Linked DNA regions of Saccharomyces cerevisiae S288C. Changing the gene in region 1 together with any one later gene gives a genetic interaction. Each region holds a gene or a part of one and is shown in the gene's direction. Other genes may lie near its edges. The genes, in order: LSC2, LAT1, HTD2 and CEM1.

Region 1 (6,442 bases):
ATTGATGTCAGACTTACAAGATAAGTCTGGTTTACACGCTGCATTGAAGGCAGCTGAGGAAAGTGGTGATTTCACAACTGCTGATAGTGTCAAGAACATGTTGCAGAAGGCAAGTTTCTCCAAGAAGATTAATTACGACGCCATTGACGGTTTGTTTAGGTAACGTTTAGGTAATCAACCCTAGGAAGGAAAAAGGGAACGGAAATAAAGACGCAATACATTTGGTTTTGGCTAAAATATATAGAACATGAAGTGCAAAAGAATTAAAGGTGCATTAACTATTTAATATGTATGTGATTATATAAATCTAAAATCTCAATGTCGTAACAATCACTGTTCCATTAAAAAAACGGGTAAGGTGGAAATTTCAGTTTTTTTTTTTTTTCTTTTCTTTTGCTTGATCGGCTAAAAAATGAAAATTTTAAACTCATCTCATCGCAGATAACCATAACACGCTTAACAGATAGAACGTTCTACCACTAAAAAAACATATCAAACGTCACTTTTTTGAATAAGTAATAATAGTTAAGGAGGAAGCACAAGACGCACTGAATATACCAATCAAGGGCATCAACAATGGGTAGAAGAAGTAGAGCAGCTATGCTCCCAACAAATATCATTCTTTTACAGAATTTGGTAAAGCGTGACCCAGAGTCCTATCAAGAGGAGTTTCTTCAACAATATGCACATTATGAATCGCTAAGGGACATTTTTATGTTAAATGGGCTTGCTGGAGGTGATTCTGCAGCTGCCACTAATGGGCTCGATGTAGGAAATGGATCTTCTACAATGGCAGGTACTAACGGTACCACCATGAGCACTTCAACTTCGCAACTTATTGAATTGGTTGGCTTCGTATCTCAAGTCTGCTCATGTTTTCCTCGTGAAACTGCAAACTTCCCGTCTGAATTAAAGCAGCTTTTGCTGGAACACCATAAGTCCTTGCCATTTGAATTGAAAGAAAAAATCTTAAGTTGTTTGACGATGTTAAGGAATAAGGACGTCATTACTGCTGAGGAATTAATTCAAAGCTTATTTCCTTTATTGGTTGCTTACTCTTCCCATGGTAATTCACTCGGCGTTAATTCACACGCCAAGGAATTGAGGAAAATCATTTATACAAATTTAATTTCTTTATTAAAAAGTTGTAATACTAATGGTAAAAATCAAAAATTGAACAAATCTACGCAGGCCGTTTGCTTTAATTTGTTAGATCAACCAGATTCCCAGGGAATCTGGGCCACAAAATTAACCAGAGAACTTTGGAGACGTGGTATTTGGGATGATTCAAGAACAGTAGAAATTATGACCCAAGCAGCATTACATCAGGATGTTAAGATTGTCATGTCTGGTGTGATGTTTTTTTTGGATGCTGACAGAGAACGTGAAGAAAATTTTGAAGAAAATTCCGAGGATGAGGATGGGTTTGATTTAGATGCATTAAGGCATAAGATGCAAGTCAATAAAAAAACGGGTAGACGTGGTAAGAAGCTGGAGAATGCCATAAAAACTGTGAAGAAGAAGAAGAAGAACGGACCGGGTGCTCCTCAAGGGTATTTAAACTTCAGTGCTATCCACCTTTTGAGAGATCCACAAGGATTTGCCGAAAAATTGTTTAAGGAACATCTTTCAGGCAAAACGAAAAACAAATTTGACATGGAACAAAAAATATCTTTGATGCAGCTGTTATCAAGGTTGATTGGTACCCATAAGTTAATTGTTTTAGGAATTTATACTTTTTTTTTAAAGTACTTAACTCCGAAACAAAGAGATGTTACAAGAATTATGTCCGCATGTGCCCAAGCATGTCATGATCTTGTCCCTCCTGAAGTTATAAATGTCATGGTGAGAAAGATTGCAGACGAGTTTGTATCAGACGGTGTTGCCAATGAAGTCGCTGCTGCAGGCATTAATACCATTAGAGAAATATGCTCTCGTGCACCTTTGGCTATCGATGAGATTCTACTACAGGATCTGGTAGAATATAAGGGGTCTAAAGCTAAAGGTGTCAATATGGCTGCCAAGTCATTGATAGCGTTGTATAGAGACGTGGCACCAGAAATGCTAAAGAAGAAGGATCGTGGTAAGAATGCCGCCATGGAAGTACAAGAAGCCAAGAAAGGAGGTAAAGATTCAAAAAGACCGCAATTTGGTGCCGACAACAGTGTTCAAGGGATTGCTGGTATCGAACTGTTAGCCAAATGGAAGAAAGAACATGGTGAAGAGAGTGAAAATGAAGACGCTGATGCCAACTGGGAAGTAGATGTCGATAGCGAAGAAGACGATGTCGACGGTGAGTGGGTCACCATGGATAGTGATAAAGAATATGACGTTGATATGGAAGATAGTGACGATGAAAAAGACAATGCTAAGGGCAAGGAATCAGATTCCGATTTGGAACTAAGCGATGATGACGATGAAAAAGAAGTGAAGGATGAGCAAGAAGATGCAGATATAGATCCCGAAGCTGCCTTCCGTGAAATTGCTTCTACACGTATTTTAACTCCGGCAGATTTCGCTAAACTACAAGAATTGCGTAATGAGGAAAGCGTTGCTAAAATAATGGGTATCCACAAACAAGACAAGCGTGAAGAGTTAGTTGATGCAAGTACACTAACAGGCCCTATCAAATACAAACAGTCTCGTGAGGAAAGATTACAAAAGGTGTTGGAAGGTCGTGAAGGTAGAGACAAATTTGGTAGTAGACGCGGTAAGCGTGACAACATGCGTTCTACTACCAACAGAGAAAAAGAAAGAAGGAAGAACTTTGTTATGTCTATTCACAAGAGATCTGTTAGAGGTAAACAAAAAATGTCACTACGAGACAAGCAAAAAGTGTTACGTGCACACATCACCAAACAAAAGAAGAAGGGGTATTAGACGACATCGTAGCCATATTAATATATACATACATATACACAGATACATTCATCTCTCCAACTGTATGAGGACTTCTCTACCTTGAATGGAACACCAAAGCCAGGTAGATACTAAAAAAAACTCTTTTTATGTCTTGGTACAGAGAAAAATGCTCCAACTGGTATCGATTATGTGTTCATCGGGAATTCTCGGCTTTTCCCCGCAGCGGCGGAGTGAGTATTCTAAAAGTTGGTTGGCCTTTCAATTGCCGCGTAGTCAACATCTTTGAGGTTTTATATAAGATCGACGTTTTCCTTATCAGCACTTTGACGTTTTCTCTCGAAAAATAACAGTGACTATAGAGCGATAGTCCAGTTTTTTTGTAACTGACTTTTAGGTAGTTAGGATTAATAAGGATTGAGTCAATACAATCGAAAAAAATACTGAAGCATTGCAACTGAACAAAATGTACTCAAGAAAATCCTTATCCCTAATTTCAAAGTGTGGGCAATTAAGCAGGCTAAACGCGCAAGCTGCTTTACAAGCAAGGAGACACTTGTCAATTCATGAATACAGGTCAGCTCAGTTATTGAGGGAATACGGTATTGGTACTCCAGAAGGATTTCCAGCGTTCACTCCCGAAGAGGCTTTCGAAGCAGCCAAGAAATTAAACACTAACAAACTGGTCATCAAGGCGCAGGCATTGACCGGAGGTAGAGGTAAAGGTCACTTCGACACCGGTTACAAAAGCGGTGTTCACATGATCGAAAGTCCTCAGCAGGCAGAGGATGTTGCAAAAGAAATGCTCAATCATAACCTGATTACTAAACAGACGGGAATAGCGGGGAAGCCAGTATCTGCTGTATATATAGTGAAAAGAGTAGATACAAAGCATGAAGCTTATTTATCTATTCTAATGGACAGACAAACCAAGAAACCGATGATCATTGCGTCCAGTCAAGGTGGTATGAATATTGAAGAGGTGGCTGAGAGAACCCCAGATGCTATAAAGAAATTTTCAATTGAAACTTCAAAGGGATTGAGCCCACAAATGGCCAAGGATGTTGCCAAGAGTCTCGGTTTCAGTCCCGATGCACAAGACGAGGCAGCAAAAGCTGTTTCCAATTTGTATAAAATATTCATGGAAAGGGATGCTACACAAGTGGAGATTAACCCTTTGAGTGAAATTGAACATGATCCAACCCACAAAATCATGTGTACAGACGCCAAATTTGGGTTTGATGATAACGCATCATTCAGACAGGAAAAGATATATTCCTGGAGGGACTTATCACAAGAAGATCCTGATGAAGTTAAGGCAAAGAAGTATGATTTGAATTTTGTTAAGTTGAAGGGTAACATTGGATGTTTAGTCAATGGTGCTGGTTTGGCTATGGCTACTATGGATGTCATCAAATTAAATGGAGGCGATCCTGCGAACTTTTTGGATTGTGGTGGTGGTGCCACCCCTGAGACCATCAAACAAGGTTTCGAATTGATCTTATCCAATAAGAACGTAGATGCAATTTTCGTCAATATTTTCGGCGGTATCGTAAGATGTGACTATGTTGCCCTGGGGCTGGTAGAAGCCGCCAGAGAACTAGAAGTTAGGGTCCCCATTGTGGCACGTTTGCAAGGTACCAAAGTAGAAGAAGGCCGCGACATTATCAATAAGTCAGGCGTGAAGATTTATTCGTTTGATGAATTAGATCCTGCTGCTAAAAAGGTCGTTGAATTGACCCAAAATTAAGCTTCTCGAGAAAAACAAAAGAGTTAATAATAAAGTATATATGCTTTTTTACTATTAATAAAGTTTCTTATTTTCCCTACATGTATACATACATATAAATATACTCTTTTGGAAAAAATTTCTTTTTTTTTTTTTTAATTTTTTTATATTTTTCCATCTTTTGATGTAATATAGAGGTTATATAATGAAAGAATATATAAGAGGTCATAAAAAATCATTAAAAAAATGCGAGTTCAGGAACATATTATCGTTTACGTAATCAGTGCGTTATTGGCGGATTAGTACCGATCACACCTTTGTTCATCGATGTGGATGCAGTTTGCTTTGCTGCGACGGCTGCAGGAGTCTCCCCTTTTATTATGTAGTGAATAACCTGTTTAAAAGAATCACCGTTCCGTATCCTAAAGTTAGCAATTCTTGTTAGATGGTAGCCTGCAGTGCAACCCAGGAAAAAATTGACGGAAGCTAACAGATAGTTCTTGGGCTTGATGACAAACGACCAACGCGTCCAAATCAGTGCCGTCGCTAATAAAGATAAATTTTGTGCTCCTGATACCTTCTCAACAGGCCTCTTAATATCATTTAGCCCTGCGAAGACCAGCCCCCACTTCAAAGTTGGGGCCCAGAAGTGTACTGTTTTAGGGCCTGTTTCACTATTCCAAAATCTTCTAAAGGCAAAATTAAAAGCTGATGCTGACATTAAAAATATAGGTTTGTGTTTCTATGTGTCTTGAATGCTTATGCGTATAGTCTTAAAGACTGATTGTATTCTTTTTTTTTATATGAAGTATTTCCGCCGTAATGAAAGGGAAAAGAAAATTTTCTCCAATACTCCAATTGCAACGCACCATATTATCCGGGAGAATACACGCACGCAGCCGCATATATATATATGATGGCCTTAGTTTTGTTTGAGCCTTTCGGTTTTGCGTGACCAAACCAGGGAGCGGCTCGCTTGACCCGCCCACGGAATGACGTAAAGCCGTTAATAGCCGATTGGCGGGAGAAATAAAAGCGGGGCACTCCCAAGATGAGGGGTAATCGGGGTAATAATATCCAATCAAGGAGGAAAAGGGCCAAATGTTACCCGACTATCCAAACTGCAGGGTAACCTTTATTTTTTCTTTTCTTTTACTCCTACCATTTTTTTTTTCAGATTTTTCCCAGTATGGCTTTGTTTTCATTTTGCTTTGGTGGAGGGATAGATTAAGTTTGCAGCTGCGTAGAAAAGTTTCTTTTCTACATTCGAGGAAAAAGTCGACTTATTAGTCTGGTTAACTTGTTATTAGGGCTTCTTGCTTGAGTTATAATTTTAGAAGGAGAAAAAATAAATCTGTAGCAGGAGTACCAATTTGCTACGCTTGCTAACATCTACGAGAGTAACAATATCAAGCATACAAGCGCGACTGTCTCGGCTACCCCTATAATAGATATAGAGGCGTGTTTGTGAAACAATGTCTTCATTATATACTAAGTTGGTTAAAGGGGCGACCAAAATAAAGATGGCCCCTCCAAAGCAAAAATATGTGGACCCTATTCTCTCGGGCACTTCGAGCGCAAGAGGATTGCAAGAGATTACCCACGCATTGGATATAAGGTTGTCTGATACAGCCTGGACCATTGTTTATAAGGCATTGATTGTGTTGCATCTGATGATACAACAAGGCGAAAAAGATGTCACGCTAAGGCACTATTCCCATAATTTGGATGTTTTCCAATTGAGAAAGATTTCGCATACTACTAAGTGGTCTTCCAATGATATGAGGGCTTTGCAGAGATACGACGAATACCTAAAAACACGTTGTGAAGAGTATGGCAGGCTAGGTATGGATC
Region 2 (3,799 bases), on another chromosome or scaffold:
TCGCTGCAAATCCTAAATAAACTATCGGACGTGTTCCTCGAGCAGCGCCATTGTCAATCAACCTTGCCTACGGTAATATACCATCAACCTGCAATATTATCGCCCTTAGCCAAGACGGATCCGCAAAATAAGCAAGTCACGAAGAGATTCGAAGTCTTCATCAAAGGTAAGGAATACATCAATGCTTACGAAGAGGAAAATTGCCCCCAATTACAACTGCAGAAGTTTCTACAACAAAAGCAGATTAACGAATTGACAGGAAACAAAACTGAGACCTTATCGCCTGTTATTGACTACCAGTATGTTGAGACGATGAAATACGGTATGCCTCCAGTAGGTGGCTTTGGCCTTGGCATAGATAGATTGTGCATGCTATTTTGCGACAAGAAGAGGATAGAAGAGGTTCTGCCCTTTGGCTGTGTGGATGATGTAAACAGGCAGTAAATTTTGCGACGCCTGCCAATGCTTTTGTAAATAAATCAGACATATACTGTAAATAATTAGAATGGCATTTAATTTTTTTTTTTTCTCTACACCAATAAACTACGCTACGCGAAAAATCCAATATAAATATTCAGTTATAGCTAATGAGAGTGTCGAAAAACCTTGAAAACAACTACTGCACACCAAATTGATACGATTAAATGGTACCCCCCACGGTAGAAGCATCCTTGGAGTCTCCTTACACTAAGTCGTACTTTTCACCTGTCCCAAGCGCGCTCTTGGAACAGAATGACTCTCCAATAATAATGGGTATCGATGAAGCTGGCAGAGGGCCCGTATTAGGGCCAATGGTCTACGCAGTAGCCTATTCTACACAGAAATATCAGGACGAAACTATAATCCCTAACTACGAGTTTGACGACTCTAAAAAACTTACAGATCCCATCAGAAGAATGCTGTTTTCCAAGATATACCAGGACAACGAAGAACTAACCCAGATCGGCTACGCAACTACGTGCATCACTCCGTTGGATATCTCTAGAGGAATGAGCAAGTTCCCACCGACGAGAAACTATAACTTGAATGAGCAGGCGCACGATGTCACAATGGCACTCATTGATGGCGTGATAAAGCAGAACGTGAAGCTCAGTCACGTGTATGTGGATACTGTTGGACCACCAGCGTCCTATCAGAAGAAACTGGAGCAACGATTTCCTGGTGTCAAGTTTACGGTCGCCAAGAAGGCAGACTCGCTCTACTGCATGGTCAGTGTGGCGAGTGTCGTTGCAAAAGTGACCAGAGATATACTAGTCGAATCCTTGAAGAGGGATCCCGATGAGATCCTGGGTTCTGGATACCCCTCCGACCCGAAGACAGTCGCATGGCTGAAGCGCAACCAGACAAGTCTTATGGGCTGGCCCGCCAACATGGTAAGATTCTCATGGCAGACATGCCAGACTCTGTTAGATGACGCCAGTAAGAATAGTATCCCTATCAAGTGGGAAGAACAATATATGGACAGCAGGAAGAACGCCGCACAAAAAACCAAGCAATTGCAGCTCCAGATGGTCGCTAAGCCTGTTAGAAGGAAGAGGCTGAGAACCCTAGATAATTGGTACCGGTGATCACCTCCAGTTTGCACATACTATATATCTTCATGTAATACTACATATGTCATAACTTCAATAACTCATACAAGTCATCTGCTACTATGCTTTGCCGTTTCTACTATCCGTGAAGCGTGACCGGCCCTTCTCACCCCCCGTGTTACGCAAAGAACAACAAGAGGTCGAGACAACCAACCGGAACGACTAGAAGAGAGGCTGTTACGTTTCCTGTTTGTTCACGCTCAACATCTTCCATTGCTGTAAACTGCATCCAGTAAAATTAATAGTTATTAGCGTACTATGTCTGCCTTTGTCAGGGTGGTTCCAAGAATATCCAGAAGTTCAGTACTCACCAGATCATTGAGACTGCAATTGAGATGCTACGCATCGTACCCAGAGCACACCATTATTGGTATGCCGGCACTGTCTCCTACGATGACGCAAGGTAATCTTGCTGCTTGGACTAAGAAGGAAGGTGACCAATTGTCTCCCGGTGAAGTTATTGCCGAAATAGAAACAGACAAGGCTCAAATGGACTTTGAGTTCCAAGAAGATGGTTACTTAGCCAAGATTCTAGTTCCTGAAGGTACAAAGGACATTCCTGTCAACAAGCCTATTGCCGTCTATGTGGAGGACAAAGCTGATGTGCCAGCTTTTAAGGACTTTAAGCTGGAGGATTCAGGTTCTGATTCAAAGACCAGTACGAAGGCTCAGCCTGCCGAACCACAGGCAGAAAAGAAACAAGAAGCGCCAGCTGAAGAGACCAAGACTTCTGCACCTGAAGCTAAGAAATCTGACGTTGCTGCTCCTCAAGGTAGGATTTTTGCCTCTCCACTTGCCAAGACTATCGCCTTGGAAAAGGGTATTTCTTTGAAGGATGTTCACGGCACTGGACCCCGCGGTAGAATTACCAAGGCTGACATTGAGTCATATCTAGAAAAGTCGTCTAAGCAGTCTTCTCAAACCAGTGGTGCTGCCGCCGCCACTCCTGCCGCCGCTACCTCAAGCACTACTGCTGGCTCTGCTCCATCGCCTTCTTCTACAGCATCATATGAGGATGTTCCAATTTCAACCATGAGAAGCATCATTGGAGAACGTTTATTGCAATCTACTCAAGGCATTCCATCATACATCGTTTCCTCCAAGATATCCATCTCCAAACTTTTGAAATTGAGACAGTCCTTGAACGCTACAGCAAACGACAAGTACAAACTGTCCATTAATGACCTATTAGTAAAAGCCATCACTGTTGCGGCTAAGAGGGTGCCAGATGCCAATGCCTACTGGTTACCTAATGAGAACGTTATCCGTAAATTCAAGAATGTCGATGTCTCAGTCGCTGTTGCCACACCAACAGGATTATTGACACCAATTGTCAAGAATTGTGAGGCCAAGGGCTTGTCGCAAATCTCTAACGAAATCAAGGAACTAGTCAAGCGTGCCAGAATAAACAAATTGGCACCAGAGGAATTCCAAGGTGGGACCATTTGCATATCCAATATGGGCATGAATAATGCTGTTAACATGTTTACTTCGATTATCAACCCACCACAGTCTACAATCTTGGCCATCGCTACTGTTGAAAGGGTCGCTGTGGAAGACGCCGCTGCTGAGAACGGATTCTCCTTTGATAACCAGGTTACCATAACAGGGACCTTTGATCATAGAACCATTGATGGCGCCAAAGGTGCAGAATTCATGAAGGAATTGAAAACTGTTATTGAAAATCCTTTGGAAATGCTATTGTGAGGTTAGAATGAAAATAAAATTCGCCAGTAAATGCGTATCTTGGAGAAAATATCAATTTGTTATTTTGTATATATAAAAAATTAAAAAAAAAAAAAAAAAAATACTCAAATACTCAAATACGTATACATTATACTGAAATACTTCGCTTGTCTTCGAATCTAAATCCTCTCTCTCTTCTGTCTCAAAATGATATAAATAAATCACGTCAAACGGTGCGTCAACATCTTTGTTTTTTCACCTCATGTGGAATTGGTTGAAATTAACAAAGGAGTGGGATATAGGATATAACGCATAAAGTTTAGCATACTACTTTCGTATATTATTGTTCGGTGAAAGAAACTAGTTCCCTCTTATCTCTCAATATTTGCCAAAATTAGCTTTTAACAAATAAACCATGAGTTTCCTACCATCTTTTATCTTAAGCGATGAATCTAAAGAACGTATTTCCAAAATTTTAACTTTGACTCATAATGTAGCACATTATGGCTGGATCCCATTTG
Region 3 (6,114 bases), on another chromosome or scaffold:
GATCGTATTGTGATACTAGTGAGATAGATTTTCCTGATCTACCAGCTCTTGCGGTTCTTCCCACACGATGAATGTAGGACTTGGAATCCACAGGAATATCGTAGTTTACAACTATGTCCACTGATGGAATATCCAACCCTCTCGCAGCGACATCTGTAGCCACGAGAATAGACCTCTTACCTGCCTTGAAAAGATCCAAAGATCCCATTCTCTGGTTTTGATTCAAATCACCATGTAGCGCAGTGGCACTAAACTCGAGCAAATTACATAATCCTGACAACCTTTCCGCGTTGGCCTTGGTTCTTGTAAAAATGATCATCGTCTTTCCAATAAATTCATTTAATAAATAAATTAGGTATGTGTTCTTAAGACCACCTGGAACGACCATCAGTGTTTGCACTAATGTATCTACGGTTTGGTATTTGTTTGACACGGCACATTTCACAGGATTTGTCAAACTTGCTCTTTGTAATTTATCAATTTTGGAAGTCATAGTAGCGGAAAAAAGATAAGTGGTTCTTTCTTGGGTTGGGATGATCTTTAAAATTCTATCAAGAACAGGTCCAAATTCCATGTCTAATAATCTATCAGCTTCATCCATAACCAAGAATTTCAGTTTCCTCAGTGAAAACCCTTTGGTATTCTCTAAATGGTCCATTAATCTACCAGGTGTAGCAATGATAATATGTGGCTTTCTCATCAGGTCTCTGGCCTGGTCCATCATATTCATACCACCCACAATACATGTCGATCTCACGCCCATTAAGGATCCTAATGAGTCAAATGTTTCTTTGATCTGTTGTGCTAATTCTCTTGTTGGAGCTAGAATGCACGCATAGTATGGTTCCTGATCATGCCATAACCGATTCAAAATGGGAATAGCAAATGCAGCAGTTTTACCAGAACCTGTTTGCGCAAGTCCAATTATATCGTGACCTTCTAACGCGGGAGGAATTGCCTTAGATTGAATGGGAGTGGGTTTGGAATAATTTAAGTTCTTACAAGCTTGAATTAATTCGGGGACCAGATTCAGTTCGCTAAAGGATTCAAAAGATTCATCTTCATTAGTATTTTCATTTTGGGTTGATACTGTGGATTTGCTTTTTGATTTCAAAACCTTTTTCTTTTCAGCAGTAGCATCTTCTTCAGAATCGGACTCTGAACCACCTTCCTTTTCTGCTTCTATAAGCTTCTTTTGATTTTCCAAAGCTTTTGCTCTAATCTTTTCTGCTAAAGAAGTTAATTCATCGTTAGCCTTCTTTTCCTTTCTCTTAACAATTTTGGACATTTTTATAGCTGATTCAGTGAAGTACTTAACAGAATCTTGGTATATATTGCTTCTAAGATATGTCACAATTCTGTGTATACCATGTACAATTGCTAAATGCTCATTGATTAATTTTAAATTTTTCATTTTTATCGCCTTAGACGAAATTGAAATTTTTCACTGAAAAAAAAAAAAAAAAAAAAGTAGACGAAGAAGCTCATCTCATCGCGATATTAGTTCGATATCTGGGTTTGAGTGAGTAGTATGTTTAATAATAAAAGAGTATAATCCAGATATAGCAGACAATAAAATTTCAAGATGGCCAAGAGAAGACAAAAGAAAAGAACACATGCACAGCTTACACCTGAGCAGGAACAAGGTATACCTAAGTCAATGGTAATCAGAGTGGGTCAAACTTCTTTGGCCAACCATTCTCTGAACCAATTAGTAAAGGACTTCCGCCAAATCATGCAACCACATACGGCTATAAAATTGAAAGAGCGCAAGTCCAATAAACTGAAGGATTTCGTTGTTATGTGTGGCCCATTAGGTGTTACGCATCTTTTTATGTTCACTCAATCTGAAAAAACAGGAAATGTCTCCCTAAAGATAGCTAGAACTCCGCAAGGTCCTACTGTTACTTTTCAAGTATTGGACTATTCTCTGGGTAGAGATATCAAAAAATTTTTGAAGAGACCTAAATCGTTGAATAATGATGATGTATTAAATCCTCCATTGCTAGTGCTAAACGGGTTTTCCACATCCAAAAGATCTGGTGAAGACGACCAGGATGTAAACGTGGAGAAGGTCATTGTTTCTATGTTTCAGAATATTTTCCCACCTCTGAATCCTGCGAGAACTTCTTTGAATTCTATCAAACGTGTATTTATGATCAATAAAGACAGGGAAACAGGGGAAATTTCTATGCGCCACTATTTTATTGACATTCGAGAAGTAGAGATCTCTAGAAACCTAAAAAGGCTTTATAAAGCCAAAAATAATCTAAGTAAAACAGTGCCGAATTTGCATCGAAAAGAAGATATTTCTTCTTTGATATTAGATCACGACTTAGGCGCCTATACATCAGAATCTGAAATTGAAGATGACGCTATCGTGAGAGTAGTTGATAATCAGGACGTGAAGGCAAAGCATTCTCAAAGTTTGAAGTCCCAAAGAACACCGGTCGAAAAGAAGGATAATAAAGAGCGTGAAAAAGAAACAGAAGAAGAAGATGTGGAAATGGAGGAACCTAAGCCTTCAGAAAACTTGCAACCAACCCCACGTAAGAAAGCTATCAAACTAACTGAATTAGGACCAAGATTAACTTTAAAACTGGTCAAGATAGAAGAAGGTATTTGTTCAGGTAAAGTGTTACATCATGAATTTGTTCAAAAATCAAGCGAAGAAATCAAAGCTTTAGAAAAGAGACACGCTGCAAAAATGAGGCTGAAGGAACAAAGAAAGAAGGAACAAGAAGAAAACATTGCTAAAAAGAAGGCTGTTAAAGACGCTAAAAAGCAACGTAAATTGGAAAGAAGAAAAGCTAGAGCAGCAGAAGGAGGTGAAGGTCAAGGAAAAGATGATGCGATGAGCGATGATGAGTCTTCATCAAGTGACAGCGAACATTATGGTAGCGTACCAGAGGATCTAGATAGTGACTTATTTAGTGAGGTCGAATAAATTGTTCTCCGGTACCAAGAAAATTTTAGTTAAGCCTGGCTATCCACCAACGCACGTATACTTCTTCACTTTAGATAAATTGCATACTTGATACATATAAACTCTTTGTCTTTTAAATCATAGCCCAAAGGAAACGTAGATCTCAGAAGGCATGTGAAAAAAAATTCGATCTTACCTTTTTTACGCCATTTTAAGCTACTGTTTCGATACATGAGCGTGGCTGGTACATTGAAGGTGGGCAATCGTCCACTTATCTAAAGACAGCTTATCAGCATGAAATCCAAAACGTGGATTTTCAGGGATGTCTTATCTAGTCACCGAACCAAAGCGTTTGATAGTTTACTTTGTAGGAGACTCCCTGTATCAAAGGCAACGAAGCATCTTCAACTGGGAGAACATTTCCTGTTCTTCCCACCATCATTCGAAAAATTGGATAGAGATGGTTATTTTAACTATCAAAATCCTGCAAGTTTGCTAGGAAACCCTGATTTACGCTACCGTAGAAGGATTTGGGGACAAGGAGAGCTTGTTCAGTATTTACCAGTCACCTTAGACCAGGAGTATACATGCCACGAATCAATCAAATACGTAAAAAAAATACGAGATGAACATGTTGTCTGTATTGAAAGAACCCTTTTACAAGAAAGGCCCGAAAATGTGTCGAGTCCAATGGACATTTGCTTATTCGAGAGAAGGGTATTAATGTACACCAATTCACCCGCAAACAAGACTGCAGTCAAGATGCCCGTAGGAGAGGAGAACTATAAGATCTTAAAAAATTTTACTGTTACTGATATGGATATTGTAGCTTATGGTCAGATGTCTTTGAATCCGCACCGAATTCATTGGGACAAAGAGTACAGTCGCTATGTTGAAGGCTACGACGATATTATCATGCAAGGACCCTTCTCGGTCCAATTACTACAGAAATGCATCCAACCTTTTCTCGAACAACCAATCAGACAGTTGCGATACCGCAATTTGAATTATATATATCCAAACACTACTTTGAGCATATGTCAGTCTTTAAGCTCTTCGAGCGGAATGTACACATTTCAAATTAGGGACCTCCAGAAAGCCAACTTAGTCTACATGAAAGCTGATGTTTTCTGTTGACTACCAGTAATTGTCTCTCTGCAGATAATCACTACCTGTGTGTTTCTTGTCTCTTGAAATAATACTAGTAGCTGCTGAACAGTGGAAGGTCACGAACGAGATTACCATAATATCTCGCCATCACCAGGTTGACGGTAAACGCATTACGGGAAGAACTGAAAAAAAGGTGGGAAAAAAAAATAAAAAGTAAAGTGAAAAATTAAATGTAATGTATATTTCCATTTTGACGCAAAGTACTTCCCTCTATCAGTTTTGTATCTAACTGCAGAGTAAAGTCGTGTTTTGCTTAGTTAACTTATATACAAGTCAAAGCAAAAAAGATGTCCGATATCAACGAAAAACTCCCAGAGTTACTACAAGACGCTGTCTTGAAAGCATCTGTTCCTATTCCAGATGACTTCGTTAAGGTTCAAGGTATTGATTACTCAAAGCCTGAAGCCACTAATATGAGAGCAACTGATTTAATTGAAGCTATGAAGACCATGGGTTTCCAAGCTAGTTCTGTTGGTACTGCCTGTGAGATTATTGATAGTATGAGATCATGGAGAGGTAAGCATATTGACGAATTGGATGACCATGAAAAGAAAGGTTGCTTCGATGAGGAAGGGTACCAAAAGACTACTATCTTCATGGGTTATACTTCTAACTTGATCAGTTCCGGTGTACGTGAAACTTTACGTTATTTGGTGCAACACAAAATGGTTGATGCTGTCGTTACTTCTGCTGGTGGTGTGGAAGAAGATTTGATCAAATGTCTTGCTCCAACTTACTTGGGTGAATTTGCTTTGAAAGGTAAATCTTTGCGTGACCAAGGTATGAATCGTATTGGTAACTTGCTTGTTCCAAATGATAACTACTGTAAGTTTGAAGAATGGATTGTCCCAATTTTGGATAAGATGTTGGAAGAACAAGATGAATACGTAAAGAAACATGGCGCTGACTGTTTAGAGGCTAACCAAGACGTGGATTCACCAATCTGGACCCCATCTAAGATGATAGATCGTTTTGGTAAGGAAATCAACGACGAATCCTCCGTATTGTACTGGGCCCACAAGAATAAAATTCCAATCTTTTGTCCATCTTTGACTGATGGTTCAATCGGTGACATGTTGTTTTTCCATACTTTTAAAGCATCTCCAAAACAACTAAGAGTTGACATTGTAGGAGATATCCGCAAAATCAATTCAATGTCCATGGCCGCTTACAGAGCCGGTATGATCATCTTGGGTGGTGGTTTGATCAAGCACCACATTGCCAATGCTTGTTTGATGAGAAATGGTGCTGATTATGCCGTTTACATTAACACTGGTCAAGAATACGATGGTTCTGATGCAGGTGCAAGACCTGACGAAGCTGTGTCTTGGGGTAAGATCAAGGCTGAAGCCAAATCCGTCAAACTTTTTGCTGATGTCACCACTGTTCTTCCATTGATTGTTGCTGCTACCTTTGCCAGTGGTAAACCAATCAAAAAAGTTAAGAATTGATGAGAGAATTTTGAGATGAAAAAAAAAAAAATGAATCTGTACTATTTCTTTTTTTAGTGCAAAAGTTTTGTTTTAATATAGAGATAAATAAAAAAATGAACATATTACTATAATATCAACAAAATATGATGTAATGTCTGCAATAAAGATGAGTCAATTGCATTTCTATACGTACTAATCGTGTGTACATAGCCATGACATTATGTAAGTTTATACACATAAATTGCGTTGGAGTCTGCTGTGTAGTTTATAAATGTGTAAACAGCGGCTTTTGTATTCCTATTAGTTGCCGTTACCTCTCATTTTTTCGGCGGTAAGAATGTCACTGCCTATGGATTCCATTACATTTTTCTCAATCAGTTCACCTACGTTTGAATAAACCATACTAGCTTCGTAAGCACTTACTATACGTTGTTGAGTAATGCCTATTTCACAGAACGCTAACGCTTTGATCACGTTCGCATACCGGCAAATTGCTTGTCGTATGTTGTTCGATATGGAAGGATCGTTTTCATCCGAATATATTTGCCATGAAGACTCTTCTTCCAGTCTTGTTATGGAGGGATT
Region 4 (6,319 bases), on another chromosome or scaffold:
GCACTCCCGGTAAAGAAGAGCCTCGAGTGACGAGGTCAAGCACATCGGCAGATAGCACTATCATTACATTGCCTTCAATTGAAGTCCCAAATACGTACGATGATGACAGGTTAAAGATGTTGAGCGCGATATCGTTGCAGATTGAAAATTCCACCTTTTCCAAACCATTCAGTACTATTTCAAAATAAATAGGCCCGCTTGCATCATCCCCACCTGCATTACTATGAACTATTTATCATAGCTTATTTTTCCTCTATCATCATTGTAACTTGTACAAGAATGTTCAGTCTGTAAATCTCGCCGCTCATTCTCTACTAGCACTTTACAACGTTGACAGCCACTGTATGTGTAATACAGTGAACCGCCGACTCTTCGGATTTAATAACACAGATTTATTTAGAATAATCTACACATGTTTACGTATGCAACAAATTTTGCACCTTCATATACAAACAACTGCGGTCGTTTAAAAAGTGGGAAAGAACCGAAACTAGAATGAAAAACTCCACCAAAACGGCTTGAGCCTTTATCTTCTGTAACCAGAGCGGTTGCCTCTCCTGTTTTTACTTACTCTGGAGCGGTTGTTTGCATTTTTGTTTCTATTTTTAAATTTACCGTTATTGCCACTTTCAGGTTCATTTTTCCTACTGACAAGGCCCAGTTCTTCAGCCAACTTGCTATTCAAGTCAACACCAAACTTCTCCACACGATTTATCTGTCTTTGTAAAGAGTCAATATCCGCTTGATCTTGACCGAATTTGTTAGCGCGGTGCAGTTTCTTATTTAAAAGATCCAATGCTTTGGCCTTAATTTCTTCTGGTGACAAAGCGGGAGCAGCAGTGGAAGCAGCAGCTTGTTCGTTCTCTGAAGCAGTAGCAGAAGGTCCATCAGAGGGCTTTTGAACGTCCTTATTTTCCTCCTTGGGTTCGTTTGTTTCTTTAGGCTCGCTTGAAACTTCCTTTTTTTCAGTAATGTTCTGGGAGGCTGGTTCTTCTATCGCCGCAGGTTCTGACCCTTGTTCCTGGTTTTGTTCCTGTGGAGAAACTTCACTTTCACCCTTTGATTCTTCATCGTCCTTTATCAGTCTTTGAACTAGTTCATTCTTCAATCCGCCTACAGACAGATTTCTCTTGGTCAGTAAATCTTTCAATTGAACAACAGTAAGGGAAGAATAATCTGCCATTGTAAGTGCTTGTGCTGGCTCCAAGAACAATTCTAGTGGTGAAAAAAATTCTATTCAATATACAGATATCTTTGTAACTTCTGAAAGTAGCGCATCCTGAAAGGACACATTTGAAGAGTCACTATTCAACTTTCTTCTCCCATTCAGCATTATCACGCCCTTCCACCAACGCTGGTTGCATTGTGTTTTCTTACTTCGGCTAGAGACGCCGGGTAATAAAATATATATCCTCGAATGAACCGCTGGCCTCGGCCATTTTCATATGACTTCATATCATTAATATGGCCGTAGGTTAAGCAATGCTACGTGAAAGATACCAATTCCAATCGTCTGCTTTCTCTCAAGAGGAGACTTTGCGTTCTTTAAAGGAGCAGAGAAAGAGGGAAACGGTGAAAAACTTCAATATTGATAACATCCATCAGCGTCTAAATTCCTATGCCTCCTTCGAAAATGGTCAATGTTATACCCTCTCCCATTAGATATTACCGTAGCGTACGTATTTGGCCCTGTCCTTTGGGGTTTGGCCTTCTCAAGTATTTTGGCACCTCGCCCTGAACGAAAAGCTGGCACTTTGTCCCCAGCCAAACTCTTCTCTCTAATATCGTCTTTAACGACAAGGTAAAAAGATTTCTGCAGTGTTCCGTCTGCGTCATCATCTGTGCCCCACAATCCGCGGCGTTTCCGTGTAAGCCGTCAAGTGAGGACTTTTCGGATGCTGAAAGAAAGTACGCTCGGAAAAACTACATAGCTGCCCCCCTAAACGGGCCTCCCACGTGACGTAAAGTAGGAATAATAAGAAGCCAAGTCGTTTCTTTTTATTCTAAATAAGTTCGTTTCTTTTGATGTTGTCATTTTCAGAAATATATATATATGCGCTTAAATACACAAGCTAAAACAACATAGTTAGGATTGCCAAAGGTTTCTTTTCTACTCAATTTGGTCTAACTCTTTTCATATTAATAGCGCCAACCAGCTAGTGTTTACCAGATCAGTGGAAAAACATAAAACAATAAAAACAATATTCGGAATGGGATTGACTACTAAACCTCTATCTTTGAAAGTTAACGCCGCTTTGTTCGACGTCGACGGTACCATTATCATCTCTCAACCAGCCATTGCTGCATTCTGGAGGGATTTCGGTAAGGACAAACCTTATTTCGATGCTGAACACGTTATCCAAGTCTCGCATGGTTGGAGAACGTTTGATGCCATTGCTAAGTTCGCTCCAGACTTTGCCAATGAAGAGTATGTTAACAAATTAGAAGCTGAAATTCCGGTCAAGTACGGTGAAAAATCCATTGAAGTCCCAGGTGCAGTTAAGCTGTGCAACGCTTTGAACGCTCTACCAAAAGAGAAATGGGCTGTGGCAACTTCCGGTACCCGTGATATGGCACAAAAATGGTTCGAGCATCTGGGAATCAGGAGACCAAAGTACTTCATTACCGCTAATGATGTCAAACAGGGTAAGCCTCATCCAGAACCATATCTGAAGGGCAGGAATGGCTTAGGATATCCGATCAATGAGCAAGACCCTTCCAAATCTAAGGTAGTAGTATTTGAAGACGCTCCAGCAGGTATTGCCGCCGGAAAAGCCGCCGGTTGTAAGATCATTGGTATTGCCACTACTTTCGACTTGGACTTCCTAAAGGAAAAAGGCTGTGACATCATTGTCAAAAACCACGAATCCATCAGAGTTGGCGGCTACAATGCCGAAACAGACGAAGTTGAATTCATTTTTGACGACTACTTATATGCTAAGGACGATCTGTTGAAATGGTAATCCTCTAAAATCGAACATATTTGAGTAATAATTCTCAGATACAGTCCTATTCTATATTCGCCACAAAACAAGTAATGATGCTAAAAAACGACACATTTATAAAATCACATCTTATTGATTAAATAAATACGTAGATAGATTTTTTTTTTTAAAACATATAGTGTGCTATTATTTCTGACTCTGTCTCATCTCAGAAAAATAAATGATAAAAAAGGAAGTAAAATCCTTAAACGTTATCAGGTTATTAGCAACTTGAAAGTGACAGGAGCCACAACGGATTAAAATTTAATTTCTAGTAAAGAAATGTCAAGAAGAGTGGTTATCACAGGATTGGGCTGTGTAACGCCGTTGGGAAGATCATTAAGTGAGTCATGGGGGAATCTGCTCTCTTCCAAAAATGGACTCACACCAATCACATCTTTGCCCAACTATAATGAGGACTACAAACTCAGAGAAAAAAGTATCCCATCAACGATAACAGTGGGGAAGATTCCAGAGAATTTTCAAAACGAAAATTCAGCCATCAATAAACTGCTGTTCACTAGCCAGGATGAGAGAAGAACCTCAAGCTTTATCAAGCTAGCACTACGTACAACTTATGAAGCGCTTCACAATGCTGGTCTCTTGAACCCAAATGATATAACCATCAATACATCTCTGTGCAATCTGGATCACTTTGGTTGCCTGATAGGTTCTGGTATAGGATCCATTCAAGACATATACCAAACTTCTCTACAATTCCATAACGACAATAAAAGAATAAATCCATATTTCGTCCCTAAAATCCTTACAAATATGGCAGCTGGTAATGTTTCCATCAAGTTTAACCTTAGAGGATTATCCCATAGTGTTTCCACAGCATGCGCAACAGGTAATAACTCCATTGGCGATGCATTCAATTTTATTCGGTTAGGCATGCAAGACATCTGTGTCGCCGGTGCAAGTGAAACGAGTTTGCATCCGTTAAGTTTAGCAGGTTTCATCAGAGCAAAGTCGATTACTACAAACGGGATCTCTAGACCCTTTGATACACAACGTTCTGGATTCGTACTTGGTGAAGGATGCGGAATGATTGTCATGGAATCGCTAGAACATGCTCAAAAGAGAAATGCAAACATAATTTCTGAGCTCGTGGGCTATGGTTTAAGCAGTGATGCCTGCCATATTACCTCCCCTCCTGCTGATGGAAATGGTGCCAAAAGAGCAATAGAGATGGCTCTAAAAATGGCTAGATTAGAACCAACTGATGTTGACTACGTCAATGCACATGCTACATCAACTTTACTAGGCGATAAAGCAGAGTGTCTGGCAGTAGCCTCAGCACTCTTACCAGGAAGATCCAAAAGCAAGCCACTGTACATATCCAGTAACAAAGGTGCAATTGGCCATCTTTTAGGTGCAGCTGGCGCCGTAGAAAGTATATTTACAATTTGTTCCTTGAAGGATGATAAGATGCCGCATACCTTAAACCTGGACAATGTTCTGACTCTAGAAAATAACGAGGCCGATAAGCTACATTTCATAAGAGACAAACCTATTGTGGGAGCTAATCCGAAGTACGCATTATGCAACAGCTTCGGATTTGGAGGAGTTAACACATCTCTTCTCTTCAAGAAATGGGAAGGGAGTTAATATTATTAAACTTATATATATATCCCATTATAATCGTTTTTGAATTATATGCTATCTATTCGAATGTCGAGATTTATCCATTAAAACCAATCATTTCAATGATTAGCAAAAATATTAATCAATTAACATTTAGTCATCGACCGAAATATTTGAGTTCTAAAGGTCTTACAATGTTATAGATGATGAACGCCCAACTTCCGCCTAACTCGAACCCAATGTCACCGCCGTACTCTCCGATCAAACGACTGATCTCACCAACCCAATAAGTTTGGCACATACCCAACGCTACTCCAAAGGCACCAGCAATTAAGGCAGCAGTACCTGCGATACCGATAGGTAGATGCTCCCAATTATCCCAATCATCAATATTGTAAGCACTGAAGGAACGCCTATAAATAAAATGCTCTGAACATGCAATGGCAATATAAATAGCCAAATAATAACCAATGGAATCCATAAAATTCTCCATAAAGCCGTCAAAGTAATAGGTAGCAGGGATGGAAATACCTAAAGTGGCAGCATTACCTGCCATTGTCCAGACTACTCTTGGTATTTTAGCCAAAGGTGCCCACAAAGCTTGAGCGGATAAAGCGACAGTGTACATTCCAGGGACATTATTAGCAACAGTTGAAAGAGCCAACAAAACACAGCAGAATTGACCGAATCCGTTTAGAGAGTTAGGGACCAGGATAGCATATATGACACCACCCATGGCGTTTTTATCATAATATGACTTCCAGGTTGGGTCATTAAGGGCCGCCATACCGCAAGCAGCACCAAGAATCATGGTGAAAAATAGAGGGAACGCTAGACCGGCTACTACGGAAAAAAAAATTTTGTATTTACTTGTGGTCTTTGGCATATAAACAGTGTAATCTGCTGCATAAGTCGCCCAACCCGCAGCTGACCCAAAAACAGATGAACCAAAAGAAAGAACACCACCTGCAGTAGTTGCACCCCCTACCCATTCACCACCTTTAAATTTTCCTGATCTCGATAGTTGGGCAATAATGACCAAAAAGGCAGCAAAATTGGGTACCCACGACCATTTTTCGTATGCATGAACGACACTGTAACCAAAAAAAGTCACAAGCACGGTACCACCAGCAATAATCAAACAACCTGCCCAAATAGGACAGTTGTGCCCAGAGCCTTCATTCACCATATTCAAAAGTTGAGCAGAAACAGAAATATTTAAAACACACCAACCGACACAAGCAATGACATTAACAAGAGAGAAAAATCTTGCTGTGATGTTACCAGCCAAATATCTCGATAGAATCATCTGTCTTAGGCCCAGTTCTACCCCAAAAAGTGAGAATAATGCAACAGGGATCAAACCCAAAATATTGAAAAAAATGATAACTAAAACACTTTGGCCGAAATTTAGGCCAAATACTAGAGGACCCAAGGCACCTACGGAATAGGCTACAATCACCATATTAGCTGAAAACCATATAGTGGCGGCATTGAGTATCGAGTCATCATTTTTTTCATCTTCTGTAACTGGTTCAATACCTTTCGTCTCAGCATTTAAAGCAGCTGCAATCCTATTGAAAAAGGACGGCTTATTATCAATGAATTCGTTGGTTCTATGCAATTCTACACCCTCATAGTATACATCAGCGGCGGAAGATTTTGTGTCCAGAGCTCCAGATTCGAGGTCCCTTAGTTCACTCCCCGCATCTTTTATATCGACCATTGACATGGCTAACTTTTCTGGC

The links.
Region 2: mutations in LSC2 (region 1) and LAT1 together harm fitness more than expected from each alone (negative genetic interaction), as found in Saccharomyces cerevisiae (4 studies listed by BioGRID).
Region 3: mutations in LSC2 (region 1) and HTD2 together harm fitness more than expected from each alone (negative genetic interaction), as found in Saccharomyces cerevisiae (3 studies listed by BioGRID).
Region 4: mutations in LSC2 (region 1) and CEM1 together harm fitness more than expected from each alone (negative genetic interaction), as found in Saccharomyces cerevisiae (3 studies listed by BioGRID).

What each region holds. Positions count from the first base shown.
Region 1 is NC_001139.9:976,203-982,644, reverse strand, and holds LSC2 (succinate--CoA ligase (GDP-forming) subunit beta), read left to right. Parts: upstream 1-3,325; coding exon 3,326-4,609; downstream 4,610-6,442. Other genes in the region: transcription factor TFIIIB subunit BRF1, read left to right, coding at 1-163; SDA1 (Sda1p), read left to right, coding at 577-2,880; MPC3 (mitochondrial pyruvate carrier), read right to left, coding at 4,869-5,309; YAP1802 (Yap1802p), read left to right, coding at 6,064-6,442. UniProt on the Saccharomyces cerevisiae protein: Succinyl-CoA synthetase functions in the citric acid cycle (TCA), coupling the hydrolysis of succinyl-CoA to the synthesis of ATP and thus represents the only step of substrate-level phosphorylation in the TCA.
Region 2 is NC_001146.8:489,673-493,471, forward strand, and holds LAT1 (dihydrolipoyllysine-residue acetyltransferase), read left to right. Parts: upstream 1-1,850; coding exon 1,851-3,299; downstream 3,300-3,799. Other genes in the region: lysine--tRNA ligase MSK1, read left to right, coding at 1-444; ribonuclease H2 catalytic subunit RNH201, read left to right, coding at 645-1,568; TOM7 (Tom7p), read left to right, coding at 3,694-3,799. UniProt on the Saccharomyces cerevisiae protein: The pyruvate dehydrogenase complex catalyzes the overall conversion of pyruvate to acetyl-CoA and CO(2).
Region 3 is NC_001140.6:227,750-233,863, forward strand, and holds HTD2 (hydroxyacyl-thioester dehydratase HTD2), read left to right. Parts: upstream 1-3,220; coding exon 3,221-4,063; downstream 4,064-6,114. Other genes in the region: RNA-dependent ATPase RRP3, read right to left, coding at 1-1,288; SSF1 (rRNA-binding ribosome biosynthesis protein), read left to right, coding at 1,586-2,947; DYS1 (deoxyhypusine synthase), read left to right, coding at 4,384-5,547; exosome non-catalytic core subunit RRP4, read right to left, coding at 5,830-6,114. UniProt on the Saccharomyces cerevisiae protein: Mitochondrial 3-hydroxyacyl-thioester dehydratase involved in fatty acid biosynthesis. Required for respiratory growth and for normal mitochondrial morphology.
Region 4 is NC_001137.3:276,574-282,892, reverse strand, and holds CEM1 (fatty acid synthase CEM1), read left to right. Parts: upstream 1-3,266; coding exon 3,267-4,595; downstream 4,596-6,319. Other genes in the region: VHR2 (Vhr2p), read left to right, coding at 1-188; THO1 (Tho1p), read right to left, coding at 527-1,183; glycerol-1-phosphatase GPP2, read left to right, coding at 2,211-2,963; FCY22 (purine-cytosine permease), read right to left, coding at 4,729-6,319. UniProt on the Saccharomyces cerevisiae protein: Possibly involved in the synthesis of a specialized molecule, probably related to a fatty acid, which is essential for mitochondrial respiration. Is essential for oxygen uptake and the presence of cytochromes A and B.